Tamandua tetradactyla: one gene and its partner. Each later gene encodes a partner of the first gene's protein in a complex. Links are inferred from orthologs where the notes say so. Each region holds a gene or a part of one and is shown on either strand. Other genes may lie near its edges.

Region 1 (7,221 bases):
CATCTTTAAAAAACAAACAGAACAAAACAAGAGCTGGCCAAACTACAGGGAGTTGCCGAAGCGGACAAGAACGGGAAGGAAACAAAGGGGAGCTAAGAGGTGCACAGGGTCATCTAACCCACCGGGTGCTGCACTAAGCACTCTACATCTGACATCTGAGCTTGTATCTACAGTAATGCAGCAACCTGGGAAACTGAGGCCCAGAGAAATCGTGTCACTCACAAGGCTCACTACCTTGAGGACAGGACCCAGAGGCTCTAACAGCTCTAAAGACAAAGGCTGGTGGAATGTCCTCTGGTCTGATTTGAGATGGAGGCATTTCCCACATTCTAAGGTATGGAAGGTAACACAGATTGATATGCTAGTTTGGAACCAAGGAAACCATCTCGGTTAACTTTCAACAGCTGGTTTACTGAATCAGCGCTTAAGGAATAATGAAGTAATTAACATCAAGGGAGTGAGAGAACCTTCTCGACCAAAGGGGGAAGAGTGAAATGAGACTAAGTGTCAATGGCTGAGAGATTCCAAAGAGTCAAGAGGTTATCCTGGAGGTTATTCTTATGCATTAAGTAGGTATCACCTTGTTGTTCAAGATGTAGTGGAGAGGCTGGAGGGAACTGCCTGAAAATGTAGAGCTGTGTTCCAGTAGCCATGTTTCTTGATGATGACTGAACAATGATATAGCTTTCACAATGAGACTCTGATTGTGAAAACCTTGTGTCTGATGCTCCTTTTAGCTACTATATCAACAGAAGAGTAGAACATATGGAATAAAAATAAATAATAGGGGGAACAAATGTTAAAATAAACTTAGTTTGAAATGCTAGTGGTAAATGAAAGTGAGGGGTAAGGGATATGGTATGTATAATCTTTTTTTTTCTCTATTATCATTTTATTTCTTTTTCTGTTGTCTTTTTATTTCTTTTTCTAAATCGATGCAAATGTTCTAAGAAATGATGAATATGCAACTATATGATGATATTAAGAATTACTGATTGTATATGTAGAATGGAAGGATATCTTAATGTTTTTGTTAATTTTTTTTAATTAATAAAAAAAAGTTTAAAAAAAAAGGAATAATGAAGTGTCTGCTCAAGTCCACGTTCCTGCCTCCAAACACAGACATAACCAAAATAGCTAGAAATTGATGTTTTTTTCTGTCAAATTAAAAAGCAAAACAGTTTACCCCAAACTCCAGAAGAGAAGTACCAATTAATACGAATAGTTCAATAACTATTAATGCTGGGAAATTCAACTTATTTTTTCTGTTGACAAAATTTTAAAAGAGCCAGCATGGCAGCACACAGCACTCCCTTCACCCACAAGGTAAGCACAAAGGTACTCTACCTTCTATAGCCCTGATGGGTGACAGTACTCCAAAATATGACTATAAGCAGTAGAATACAAGAGCATGCTATGAGACAATATTTTTAGGCTGCAATTTCAGATAAATAAAAGCAGAATGTCTGTTTGAATCCCCTTCTGCCATTTATTAGATGTGACTTACGGACAAGTTACTTAATCTCTTGGTGTCTGTTTCTACTTCTAAAAGGAGATAATAGTAGTACTCACCTCCCAATGTTATGAAGATTAAATGAATAAATATGTAAAGTACTCAGAACAAAGCCTTCTATAAAGTTATTGCTGAAATGAGTGTCACTATCATTAAAAAGTTCAGCTATTATTTTATTTATTTATTTTAAAAAGTGCTTGAGTGCATTTATATGGTTTGATCTAAGATGGTAAATTATTTACCTTAATAAGACCATCTCCTTGGGCAAAACATGGGTCCTGCACAAAATCAAGCACCTGAAGTGTCAGCTGATGCCACAACCTGAAAAACACAAGGCCCTCAAGAAGTATAAATTAATATTGCGTCTCAGACACCTTCTGCCTTCTTCGTCCTATCAAATAAATACTAAGCAGTCAATACTGTATAGAAAAAAAGAATACTAAAGCAAATGCTAATCAACCTGAGTTCTTTTTCTGGCTCTGCTACTAAAGCTTAATCACTTAACCTCTCTAAGACTCAGTTTTCCCAGCTATAAAGTGGACACTTTTCTAGGCTACCTCAAGGGTTACTGTGAGGTTCAGTTAGAAAAAAGGACTTTGGAATCATACAGATCTAAGCTGAAAATCCCGGCTCATCTATTTATTTATTTATTTTTTATTTTTTTTCTTTTACATGGGCAGGCACCGGGAATCGAACCCAGGTCCTCAGGCATGGCAGGCAAGCACTCTTACCTGCTGAGCCACCGTGGCCCACCCTCATCTATTTATTAATTGTATCTCAAGGTAGGTACTTAAACAAAACTTCAGTTTCCTTATCTGTGAATGGAGCTGAGTAAAGGATTAAATGAGCTAAAACACAGAATGCCTAGAACAGTGCATAGTGCCCAGTCTTCCAGAAACTGAAGACTAATATTAACATTGTATACATAATTTAAAAATACAAAATGCCACCCAATACAGGCAATCATTAACCAAACACCAATACTTTCTTTCAAAAAACTCCTAATAGTAGAAGACTGACAATATCATCAAAACATGTAACCAGCACCCATCTGAAAGGCACTATTCTAAAGGCTATGACTGTTACCTGGGAGGTTATCACAGAAGGGGTACTTTTCTATGGAACATCTCTAACTCGATGGTGGCAATGTATTCTGTGTCCTATTTATTCTAAAAGAGGTTGGCGCTTAGCCACAGAAAATTTAATTGTTCTGAAATTCATCCTGTTCCTAGGGACACAAAGCCCAATGGGAAATGCATATATAACCAGTTGCAGAATCAACAGGGAAAAGAACACAACCGCACTGGCCTCTGGTTTATATTCTCCAGGTTGTGAAAAAGATAACTGTAGATACGGTCATACTAAAACAAGTCACCAGGATTTGTTACTCAAAAGAGGTGGCAGCCTGACTCCGAAAGGCTTGTTTGACTGGGCTCAAGAACTAAAATCACAAGCCAGTTCAGAATCCCTTCTGTAAGGGGAGAAAGAAAGGGGGCCCACAAGCTTCAATCACAGCTTCTCAGTGAATCCCAGACCCCAAAACCCTGGCAACCGCCCTGGTCCTCAGCCCTCGTGTGCTGTCCCCCGTCTTCCCTTGGGTCCAGCCCCCTTGAGGGTCCTCAGACGCTCTGCAGTCCAGAGCGTCCCCACCCTCCTCCGCCTCCTCCGGACCTCTCCCCTCATCGCTCTGAGCACCCTTCATCCATCAAGAGCCGGACCTCCCCCCAACTCCACCCCATGACCGGCCAGGCCGCCGCTCTTCATTCCCGGGCGCCCGGGTCCCCTCGGTTCAACGCTCACTTCTTCGTGTACAGCTCCTCCAGACGGTGCCACACGGCGGCCTGGCCGGGCCCGGAGCTCTGGCTCTGCTGTAGGAAGCCTGGTACGTCCTTCATGACGACAGAAGAGTCCGGGACAGCTGCACAACCGAACCCAACAAGATGTGAGCGCCGCGGAGACGGCCGCCGGAAGTGCTCGCTCATTTCCGGCGCCGCGCCGCGAGGAGCATGCCGGGAGCACTGTAGGTCAGCCTCGGGCGACTGCTGGTTGTCAAGGTAACCCGACGCTTCGGCCCTGGTACTCAGGCTCAAAGCTGAACCGACCGTTTCTCATCTCCAATAAGGATCAGTGGCCTTCCTAGTAGGGTTCTTGCTTGGATTTAATGTCAATGTAAAGCCTGACACACTGCGCACACTTGTTAGTGTCGTCATCACCATCCTAGGTGGAAACGGTTGGCGTATCGGGTAAAGAAATGCAGGCACCATGTTTGTCCGGTAATTCAACCGACCGGAACCCTTCCTCCCCTGGGTGCGACCTGGGTGGGCACAAGCGGGCGACGTCAAGGCCGCAGGACACGCGCTCTGGCGTGTGCCCGAGCACGCAAGGGCGGGGCCAAGGGCGTAAGGGGGCATGACCGAGCACGCAGGGGGCGGGGCGGGGCGCGCAGCGCGGCGCGGTGGGGCGGGGCGGGGCGGTCGGGGACGCCGCCGGCTGCGGAGGAAGATGGCGCTGTGGAGCCGTCGCGCAGGTTCCGCCCTAGGGAGGGGGCTTCTCGGCTCCCGCTGGCCTCGGGGCCGCCTGCCTCGGTTAGTCCGGGAGCCGCCTCGGGACGTGCGGGTTGGAAGCCAGTTCCACGCTCGGGGGCCTTGGAAATTCGCCCTGCCTTAAAATGCCTGCTCTCGGCCCGGCGGGGCGCGGGGTCACGGCGTTGTGGTCACGTGGAGATTCCGTCCGCCCTTCCTTTTAAGTTTCATGTGGCTTGGCGTTATTTCTGTGTAGTCCATCCCTTTACCTGGTTTAGGGTCCCAGTGGCTGCTCCGTGGTGTACTCAAGCGTTCCTTGGAGGTGGTGCGCGTCGGTCGCTGCGCACGCCATTCTGGGGACTCCCCTTACTCGCCCCTTACTTTTTGGATCAGTTCCTAGCGGTGGGACTGCTGGGTCATTTAACACTTTTGTGTCTCCCACGCAGCAGCAAGTGCTCATCCACGTGCACGCGGTAATTGTGCTCTTGGGGGTCCTCATCTAGGAGCCGGGCCTACCAATGGAAGAGTCTTGAGGCCCAAAGTCGCTCATCATAGAATTATTTATAGCGATAAAAATGGAAAGAAACCTAAATGCCCAATAATGCACAACTGTTTAAGTAAACAACGGAACGTTGCTTGACGCCGTTTTACGCAGCGGCTGGAGCGCCGGTGGCGAGGCTGTAATAAAGGGATCTTGAGCTCTCGCTCTGGCAGGCGCTTCCCGGTGCCGGTCAGGGCAGGGTACGGGACAGGTAACGCTCGTTTCCGCGGAGCTTCTTGCACCGTTCGAGCTGACCTGCGCCGGCTGTGTGGCCGGGACGCGCCTGAGCGGTCAGGTACCGGGCAGGAGGCCGCCCGGCCGGCACGAAGCGAAGGGGGCGGAGGGCGGGCCGAGCACCGGGCCGTGGTGCGCGCTCGCTGCACCCTGGAGTTTCTGCCCCTCGGCTTTTGGGCTCGGGGCTCTTTGGGGTTACCCTTTGTTTCCCTCTGTGAGGTCTCCCCCAGCCCGCACCCGTGTTCCCCCTCTCAGGGACCCTCGGCTTCCTGCCCCCAGTCCGATTCGCAGCACACGGAGTGTACTTGCTTTGCGGAGAGAAGCGAGCACGGAGAGGCGGAGCAGGGACAGCTCGCTTGTCTGTGGCCGGCGACCAGGTGGCCTGAAGTCAGGGTCCCCGGGCAGGGCAGCTGCGCGAAGGGCGGGGAGAGGTGCAGGCGCCCAGGCGAGGTCCCGAGGAGCGGCCGCTGGGCCTGCCCTGGGCTCGCCCGCGGTGGAGGCGCGGCGCAAAGCAGAAAAGGGTTCGAGGCCCTACGGGTTAGGGCAGAGCTGTGAAACAGGGAGTCTTCTGTTGGACTGAGATAGGGAAGTGGTGGGAGGTCAGGGTCGCTGGGGCGGATCACAAAGGTTGTGTGTGTGTTGTATGAAGACAGTAGGTTCTCTGGGGGAGTGGAAACGACGATCACGGATGCGAGCTGAGGGTTAGGAAAAATCACAGCAGCAAGGGACTGGTCTGGTGAAGAGTGTTGGCTTTGAAAGAAGCAAAGAAAAACACACAAAAGAAAAAGCACACAGAAAAGTGAGTTATGACCATGCCAGCTGCAAGATAGATTATGAATTGTCCTGACACGCAGCTTAAAAATATTATGGTTTTAGGATGTTTATTTCTGGTGAGTATGAGAAATAATAAACATTTATTTCTAGCATGATGAATAAATACTTAAGAGTTTCTTGTTTTTATGTTTATATTTACATTCGAGTCATCGTGTACTTTGAGAGGGCTGTCAAGAGGACTTTCAGAATCTTTCCTTCAGGGTGGAGGGATCTCAGTACAGGCTGTCAGTGATGTTGGGAGGAAGAGTCTACATTTAGAGCTGTCGTGGGGACGGCCTCTGTGCAGAACATGAGATGTCGGAGTCGCTCTGCAGGCACTGAGGTGTCGTGGGGAGGGTCTCTAGATACTGAAGTGTCATGGAGAGCATCTATAGACTCACTGAGGTGTCATGGAGAGGGTCTTTCATAACCTGATATGTCAATGAGAGTGTTTGTGCAGACAATGAGTTCTCTTGGAGAGGGTCTGTATAGACACTAAAGAGTCATGGGGAGGGTCTGTGCGGACACTGAGGTGTCACGCAGACATGGAGGTGTCATGGGAGGGTCTCAGTGTAGACGCTGAGGTGTCATGGGAGGGCCCCTGCAGATATGGAGGTGTCATGGAGAGGGTCTCAGTGTAGACACTGAGGTGTCATGGGAGGGTCTCAGTGTAGACGCTGAGGTGTCATGGGAGGGTCTCAGTGTAGACGCTGAGGTGTCATGGGAGGGTCTCAGTGTAGACGCTGAGGTGTCATGGGAGGGTCTCAGTGTAGACGCTGAGGTGTCATGGGAGGGCCCCTGCAGATATGGAGGTGTCATGGAGAGGGTCTCAGTGTAGACGCTGAGGTGTCATGGGAAGGTCTCAGTGTAGACGCTGAGGTGTCATGGGAGGGTCTCAGTGTAGACGCTGAGGTGTCATGGGAGGGTCTCAGTGTAGACACTGAGGTGTCATGGGAGGGTCTCAGTGTAGACGCTGAGGTGTCATGGGAGGGTCTCAGTGTAGACGCTGAGGTGTCATGGAGAGGGTCTCAGTGTAGACGCTGAGGTGTCATGGGAGGGTCTCTGAGATTATCGTATAGGCCATGAGAAACTCTGGGATCTGCCCAGTCACTATGTGTTGAAGAGTGCTTTGAAAACGATTGCTTTTTCTTTCTTTTCTTAGTATATATGTTATACCATACAATTAAAAAAAAAGTTAAAAATAAAGAGTGTAATGTAGAAACAAAACTAAAAAAAATGGGTTTAAGGTATTTAAGTTAGTTTTTTAATACTTAAAGAACTTTGCTATCCACATATGTAGATCTTTTTTCCTTGTTGCTTTAATTTCAAATTGGTTTATAAAACTTAACTGTGCAAATAGTGGCTTTACAATGATTAAAAAAGAATAAACAGCCTCTCGAAATCCAGAACTAATAATCGCCCCTCCAGATTTAAAGTGTCTGCTATAAAAGCTTACAGTCTAGGCCCCTGTTTTCTTATAGGCATTTTCTAAAAGAGACCATGCCATTGTTGTCTTTTGTTTGAGGCTTATTTTGCCTCACCAAACGTCCCACATATTCATTCACATTGTTGCATGCCTCACAACTTCGTTCCGTTTT
Region 2 (7,323 bases), on another chromosome or scaffold:
GCCAGGAGAGCAGCACCTCTCCAACTTGAATGTATGTTGAAATGCAGGTTTTGATTCATTTGGTTTGAGATAGGGCCTGAGAGTCTGCATTTCTAAGGTATACCCAGGTGATGGCAATGCTACCAGCCCATGGACCATACCTGGGAAGGTGAGGGTGGGTTGAGGATGGAGCCTTGGGGTCCAGAGTAAGAGCAAGGTGTGGCTTTCACTCAGAATCATGAAGGCTTTGGATTCTCCTCACTTGAAGAGTAACTTGATCTGGCCTGTTTTAAAGGAACTGTACAGCCTGCTGTGGGGCTAGACTGTATAACAGTGTAAGCCATTAAAACCTATTTCAAGGCCTCAAATAGCCAAAACAATCTTGAAAAGGATGACCAAAGATGGAAGACTCACCCTTCCTGCTCTCAAAACTTAATACAAAGCTGCAGCAGTTAAAACAGTGTGGTCCTGGCATAAAGATAGGCATATAGATCAATGGAATAGAATTGACTGTCCAGAAATAAACCCACACAGCTGTTGATTGTTGACAAGGGCTCCAAGTCCATTTAATGGGAAAGTAAATGCCTCTTCAACAAATGATGCTGGGACAACTGGAAATCCATCTGCAAAAGGTGAATCTGGACCCTTTCCTCTCATCATATACAAAACAAGTTAACTAAAAATGGAGCAAGGATATGAATGTAAGAGGTCAAATGATAAAACTTTACAAGAAAACACAGGGAAATATTTGCAGGCAATGGAGTCTCAGATTTTATACCAAAAGCATGAACAACAAAAGAAAAAATAGATAAACTGGACTTCATTAAAAAAAAATGTGCATCAAAGGACATTATCAAGAAAGGGCAAAGACAACCTATAGAATGGGAAAAAACATCTGGAAATGATATATCAATCTGCTAAGGATTTAATATCCAGGATATAGAAAGAACGGCTACAACACAACAGAGAAAGGACAGAACCCATTTGAAAAAATGGGCAAAGGATCTGAACAGACATTTCCTCGAACAAGTTATACAAATGGGCAATAGGCACATTAAAAGATACTCAATATCATTAGCATGATTACTTTACATCATTAGTTAAAGAAATGCAAATCAAAACACAGAGAGATACCACTTAATGCCCACTAGCCTGGATATTATTTAAAACACACCCACACCCACACAGAAAATAACGTATTGATGAGGATGTGGAGAAATAGGAACCTTCATATACTGTAAAATGGTTTCAGGCCCTCTGGAAAACAATTTGGAGGTTCCTCAGAAGGTTAAACATAGAATTACCTGGCAGACTCTGAGATTCCCCTTTTAGGTATCTATGTTACTAATGATAGCGGCGACTCAAACAGATTCTTTGTGCACCATTGTTCATAGAGGCATTATTCACAATAGCCAGAAGGCAGCCACCCAAGCGTACAGGTAAAAAAAATGTTACCTGTACACACAATGGAATGTCATTCAACCAAAAAAGAATGAAGTTCTGATGCATGCTATAACATGGAGGAAACCTGAAGACATTATGTTGAGTGACATAAACCAGACACAAAAGGACAAATATTGTTTTATATCTCTTACATAAAATACTTAGAATAAGCACATTTACAGAGACAGAAGGCAAAATAGTGGTTACTAGGGGTGGGGAGAGGGAGAATGGGAAGTTATTGCTTAATGAGTATGAGTTTCTGCTTGGGATGATGAAAATGTTCTGGAAATAATAGTGAAAGTTACACAATAGTGTCAATGTACTCAATGTCACAGAATTGCTCATTTAAAAATGGTTAAAATAATTTTTATGTTATGAATATTTCACCACAATGAAAAAAATAATAAAAATAGCCTATTGCAATAATCCAAAAAAGAGATGGGTGTGGTTTGGACTGGGGGAAGCGTGAGGGGTGATGGTGGGAGAAGAGTCCTGGTGCTTCAGGGATCTTGAAGGCAGGAACCAGGCTTTGCTGGTGGACGGCACATGGAAGGTGAAAGGTAGGAACCTAGGGATGACAAGGATTTAGGCTTGAAACAGAAGAAAATATAATGTCCACTCCCTGAACTGGGGAGGGCTGAGGGAGGATCAGTGTTTGAGGGAAGAATCCATGAGATATGATGCATTTAAGATGGTAATTAGACAGGACTCAAATTTGGAGAAAAGATCAAAAGGAAGAGGGAGAAGTTTGAGGGCTGAGCGCTGGGACACTCATACTTTGAGGGCAAGGAGATGAGGAGTTATCTGTAAAGAGGATTGAAAAACAGTGGCCACTGGGTAAGAGGAGAACCAGGCATTCCTTGTTGTAGTTGTATCGGTTATCTACTGCTGCATAACAAACCACCTCAAAACTTAGCTGCTTAAATCAGCAACTCTTTAGTAGTTCTCACAATTCTCTGGGTTGACTGGGTGATTCTTCCATTCAGTATGGTGCTGCCTGGGGTCCCCAGGTGGCTGCCTGGTTGGGGGCTAGAGCATCCGAGATGGCGTGCTTATATGTCTAAGCTTATATGGGTGGTTCTGACTGTCTGTTGGGGTGGCTCGGTTCTCTTCCAGGTGGTCCCTTTTCCTTCAAAAGACCAAACTAGCTTCCTTACTGCATTGCAGCAGGACTTGAAGAGAGTGAAGCTGAAGTTGTTGGGTCTCTCAAGGCCTGCTGTTGGAGCTGTCACATCCTAGTGGTCAGAACAGTAAGGCCAGGTCAGGTCCAAGGGAGGGGAGACAGACCCTAATTCCTGATGCATCAACCTTCCATCAAGTATACAGGAGGGGGTGAATTGCTGGTTGCCATTTCATTTTCAGAGACTAGCCATCACAGATATGACTGCTCTCTATTTACAATTTATATACTCTACTAAAATGAGAATTTAGGCCAGCAGTGCAGTAGACATTGAAATAAAAACTGGAGGGTGCTGGGTGCCACTCTTGGTCTTCCATGAGCCAACCACATGACTTTCAGCACCTCCTTTCACTTGCTTGGGCCTCAGTTTCCTCATTTGTTCCAAACAGGTTTTTCAACACAAAGCCAAAAAAAAAAAAAAAAAAAAAAAAAGCAAATGAGCACTTGGCACAGGTGCAGGGCACAGCCAAGTGCTCAGGAAAACTCTCATCACTTTCTCCAGTCTTCAAAGTAGTCTTCCACCAGAGGCAGGCGTTCTATGTGCAGGGGCTGGGGAAGCTCTGGGGAAAAGCATCTCACTCTGCAGATTTCACAAATAGCAGGAAGGAATCTTTCCCAATTCAAAGAACTCAACAAATCTCTTTTCCAAAATGCGCTTTCCTCTGTGTTTGTCTTCTTTGTTATGGTTAACTTCTTGGGTGTTGAAATATTTAAGAATCTGGCAGAGGGAAGTTTTTACAGAGTCTCCTTCTGTCTTTTCTGGCTGGATAACAAGAACCCCACCACCTGCGTGGATTGAGCATCCAGGTGCCAGTTCTGGACTAGGCGTTTCATGGAGCTTATCTCATTTATTCCCCACCGCAACATGACCAGGGAGGTATCATTCCTGTGTTGCAGGAAAGCAGACTGAGGCACAGAGAGGGTAAAGAACTTGCCCAAAGTCACAGAGTTGGTAAACAGTGGGGCCAGGGTTTAACCCCAGGCCAGAGATGTTGGAGGAACCAGAGAAAATTCCCATAACCCAAGTCAGTGGAAGTCTGCAGGTCTGTGTGCTTCTCTGGGGAAGGGATACCTCCCGCCAAGGGCATGGGGTGGGAGCCAGATAACGGACCTATGCCTTCACTGAATCTGGGTCTAAGGGTCCTTGGTCAGCCCATTTAGCCCAAGGGGGACGCGTCTGTGTGTGTGTGTGTGTGTGTGTGTTTGCGCGCGCGCGCGCGCGTAGAGTACAGGCAGGCCTGGTGGAACGAGGGGTTCACTCATGGGTGCGGAAAAACAGATTGACCCTTCGACCCATCTATCACTTGACTGGGCAGATCCCATCGGGTTCCCGCGGCGCCCGGCCTCTGCGTCCCCTGGGCGCACAGCCTGGGTTGATCTCGGCTTGGTGCAGCTGCCGGAGTTCTAGAAAGCTCCCAAATCGAAACCAAAACCCGCGGCGCCGGTCTGGGCTCTGACAACAGACCCCGGTCCTGTCCTACCCGCCAGACACCCCGGGTGCCAACATCCACCCTGCGCCCCCTCCCCTTTCTGGATCAGGGCAGTCTCCAGGAGGCGACTTCCGAACGGGAAGGGGCCCCCAGGAGTGGGCCGTGCCGGGGGCGGGGACAGGGGCGGGCCCGCGGGACACCCAAGAGCTCACCCTTCCGCCGATCCTCTGCAGCTGACTACCCGGAGGGATGGCAGCGCTCAGCCTTGGCCGCGGCGTCTCTCGGCTCCTGGGCTGTCTGCACCGGGCGAGTGCGCCGTGGCGGGCGGTCTCGGGGCGCATACGCGGCGCCCCCGACGCAGCGCAGCCCGGCTCCTACCTGGCGCTGAGCGCGCAGGCGGCCCGGGAGCCGGCCGCCTTCTGGGGGCCGCTGGCAAGGGAAACGCTTGTGTGGGACACCCCCTACCACACCGTCTGGGACTGCGACTTCAGCAGCGGCAAGATCGGCTGGTTCCTGGGAGGCCAGTTAAACGTCTCGGGTGAGTGGGCTGTGCGGGATCCCGGGCGCCCGGTGGCAGCAGCGGCCCCCGGGCCGAGCGGGTGTCACCCGGCGACGGGGCCACCCCGCGTGAGCGCCCTTCCGTTGTTCTGTCCGCCGACTCGAAACAGTGATGCCACCCGCTCCATACGCCCACCGGCCCCGGATCTCATCCCGGCCAGAGGCTCCAGTCCCCCGGTGCCGAGTCCACACCCGCAGAGACTCGGCGTCCCCCTGGACTCGGCTTCTCTGTCTGCCCTCTCCCAAGTTGAATTCTTGGGTTTCACCGCGCCAGGAGGACAAGCCTGCGAGGTGCAGCGGCTCACTCCTGGGTCACAGGGGGCTGGGATGGAGGGTGCGGGGCGCCCTGGAGTACGGGTTATCCAGCTCGAGTCCCTGGGGCCCGAGGCGAAAACGAAAGGCTTCCGGCGGTTGTCACTGTCAGCTGCTTCGCAATCGGGCGGAGTCGCTGCCTGGGAACTATGTCCACGTAAACAAACCGGCTCGTGGAGGGTGGCCCGGAACGGGACAAAGCCCGGCCCAGCCTCTGGAGTCAGTTACTTCCTTGCTCCCGGCCTATGGGCGGGAAGAAAGGGGCAGCGGGGCCTCCCTCTTGCCGGCAGCAGTTGCGCCCCAAAGCCCCAGCGCCTGCCTTAGACCCGGCCTCGAAAGAGACTGAATCCACCGCTGATTTGTTAAGATTTGGGGTTTACAAGGACTGACACGTATCCCCACCCCAATAAACGGGGCTAATTTGGCAGCAAGGCGAGGGCGCCCAGGAACTGGGGACAGTGGCCAGTTGCCTGGAGCAAGGCTTGGGTGTCTGGCCTCTGGAGGAGGGGACTGCAGCCAGGTAGTAGGAGGGGGTTGTGCTGCCCCGAGGCTGGGGACCAGGGTCAGGTGGGGGTGCTGTGGGTTAAGAAAAGGACTGGCATGTTTTCATGGCATAGTCATGCTCTGACCTAGACCTGTCCTAGTTATTCTACTCCTCTTAACCCCTCTTTGTGAAATGGGGGCAATAATGTCCACCTCTTAGCATAGTTCCTAGCACTTATTGGTGATCAATAAGTGATCAATTTTAATATATTATATTCAGAGGTGGCCATAAAATTATGGGGAGTGTCTTGCAGTTATTTTTCTAATGAAGAAATTTAAGGAAACTTTGGGCCAGTTTTTTTTTTTCTTCATCCTGTGTCTTACTTGGCTGGTTTAATCAGAATTGGTCTCTTACTAGATAAGTGTGTTTTCTCTGAAATTGAGTCAGCAGCAGTATCTCTGAAAATTGCTTAGGTTGGCAGAGCTGGGAGAGCGTGCCCTTGAGGGAGGAGAGCTGCTGGTGAAGGATGGGGAAGGAGTGGGCAGTTCCTTGGAGGTTGCTGTGGCGACTTCTTGCTCTCAAATAAAATGTACTGGACCTCTGGGCCCTGCTCTGTTCAGGATCACGGTGTTGTCCACAAGTGATTCTGCCTTCCTATTTCCACCATTTATTTCCTCCAAAGAAGAGGTGGTTACCTTACCCAGAAATTGAGCCTCAGAAAACTGACTTGTAGGATAAAACCCAGCTTTTCAGCGCCATTCTCACCTCGAAAGTGTGTGCTAAACACCCACCTGGCCAGGAATAACCCCTGCCTTTTGCCAGAGGTGACAGATGAAAAAGGACCAGTCCAGTCCATGACTGCCCTGGAGGACACCTGGAAAGGTGGGACAGATGTGAACTCTTTGGCCTGATGTGCTTGTCCTGTGGGATAAAGTCAGCCTGATGGGGGCTTGTCCAGGGGGTGTCACATTAAAAAAAAAACTTTTTATTTTGAAATAACTTCAGACTTACAGGAAAGTTGCAAAAAGTGATGCAAAAACTATACAGAGAACTCCAACATACTCTCTGCCTAGTCACCGGATTTCTCAACTATTAGCATTTTGCCACATTTGTTAATCATTGTCTATCACCTGTCTTCTAAACCTTTAAGAGAGCAAACACGCTCACTTATGTAATCACCTTAATTACAGCTATCAAAATCCACAAATTAAACATTGATGTAAAGCTGACAGTCTATTCCAGCTTTTCACTTGCCCCAATGATGTTCTTTTGGGCATTTTCTCCTCTATTATTAGTTTCAGCTCAGGTTCATGGATTGCACCTAATTGTCATTATCTTTTTAATCTTGTTTTTAAATTGTGCCAACAAACATGTGCTAACAAATATAACATAAATTTCCCATCTCAGCCATCTGCAAGGGCATCAATTCTTTTTTTTTCTCAAGCAAAACTATATATTTTTTGAGCATCTCACAATTAACAACATATTCCTCATTGAGTCTTACTCTTTTTTCCTCTCTTTGACCTCAGATATATAGAGAAATTGGCAAAAGATAAATAGTATTCCTGGTTCATAGGTACTGGATAAAAGGCCCCCAGTAATCAGAGTCCTTATTCTTAGGTAGGGAATTACAAAAACTTTATTCATGTGATTGCCTAATAATAATCACTCACTCTTTCAATAAATATTTACTATGTGTCTGATATGAGCCAGGCAACCTGATAAGCCCTGAGAACACAGCAGTGAACAAAGCAAGAAAAATTTCACAGGGCGTCACTTCTGAAACTTCCATTACCCCTTCAGGAATACCAGGGGTTCTCAAACTGTGTTCCTCCACCAGCATCATCTGGGAACTAATTAGCAATGTAAATTCTCAAATCCACCCTATACTCCTGGAATCAAAAACTCTGGGGACAGGGCCCTGCATCTGTTTTAGC

Evidence for each region.
Region 2: the proteins of SIRT3 (region 1) and ACSS1 are in contact, whole or in part, in a crystal structure (PDB 3GLT), measured with the Homo sapiens proteins. The link is inferred for Tamandua tetradactyla from reciprocal best matches to the Homo sapiens genes SIRT3 and ACSS1. Residues at the interface, in NP_036371.1 of Homo sapiens: Gly145, Ala146, Gly147, Thr150, Pro151, Asp156, Phe157, Arg158, Ser159, Glu177, Phe180, Gln228, Asn229, Ile230, His248, Ile291, Val292, Phe293, Phe294, Gly295, Glu296, Pro297, Leu298, Gly319, Thr320, Ser321, Leu322, Glu323, Val324, Glu325; in NP_115890.2 of Homo sapiens: Ser640, Gly641, Lys642, Val643, Met644, Arg645.

The regions. Positions count from the first base shown.
Region 1 is NC_135335.1:80,126-87,346, reverse strand, and holds the start of SIRT3 (NAD-dependent protein deacetylase sirtuin-3, mitochondrial), read left to right. Parts: upstream 1-3,986; 5' UTR 3,987-4,015; coding exon 4,016-4,098; intron 4,099-7,221. Other genes in the region: PSMD13 (26S proteasome non-ATPase regulatory subunit 13), read right to left, coding at 1,756-1,834, 3,314-3,495.
Region 2 is NC_135327.1:35,089,934-35,097,256, forward strand, and holds the start of ACSS1 (acetyl-coenzyme A synthetase 2-like, mitochondrial), read left to right. Parts: upstream 1-4,260; 5' UTR 4,261-4,281; coding exon 4,282-4,570; intron 4,571-7,323. UniProt on the Homo sapiens protein: Catalyzes the synthesis of acetyl-CoA from short-chain fatty acids. Acetate is the preferred substrate. Can also utilize propionate with a much lower affinity. Provides acetyl-CoA that is utilized mainly for oxidation under ketogenic conditions.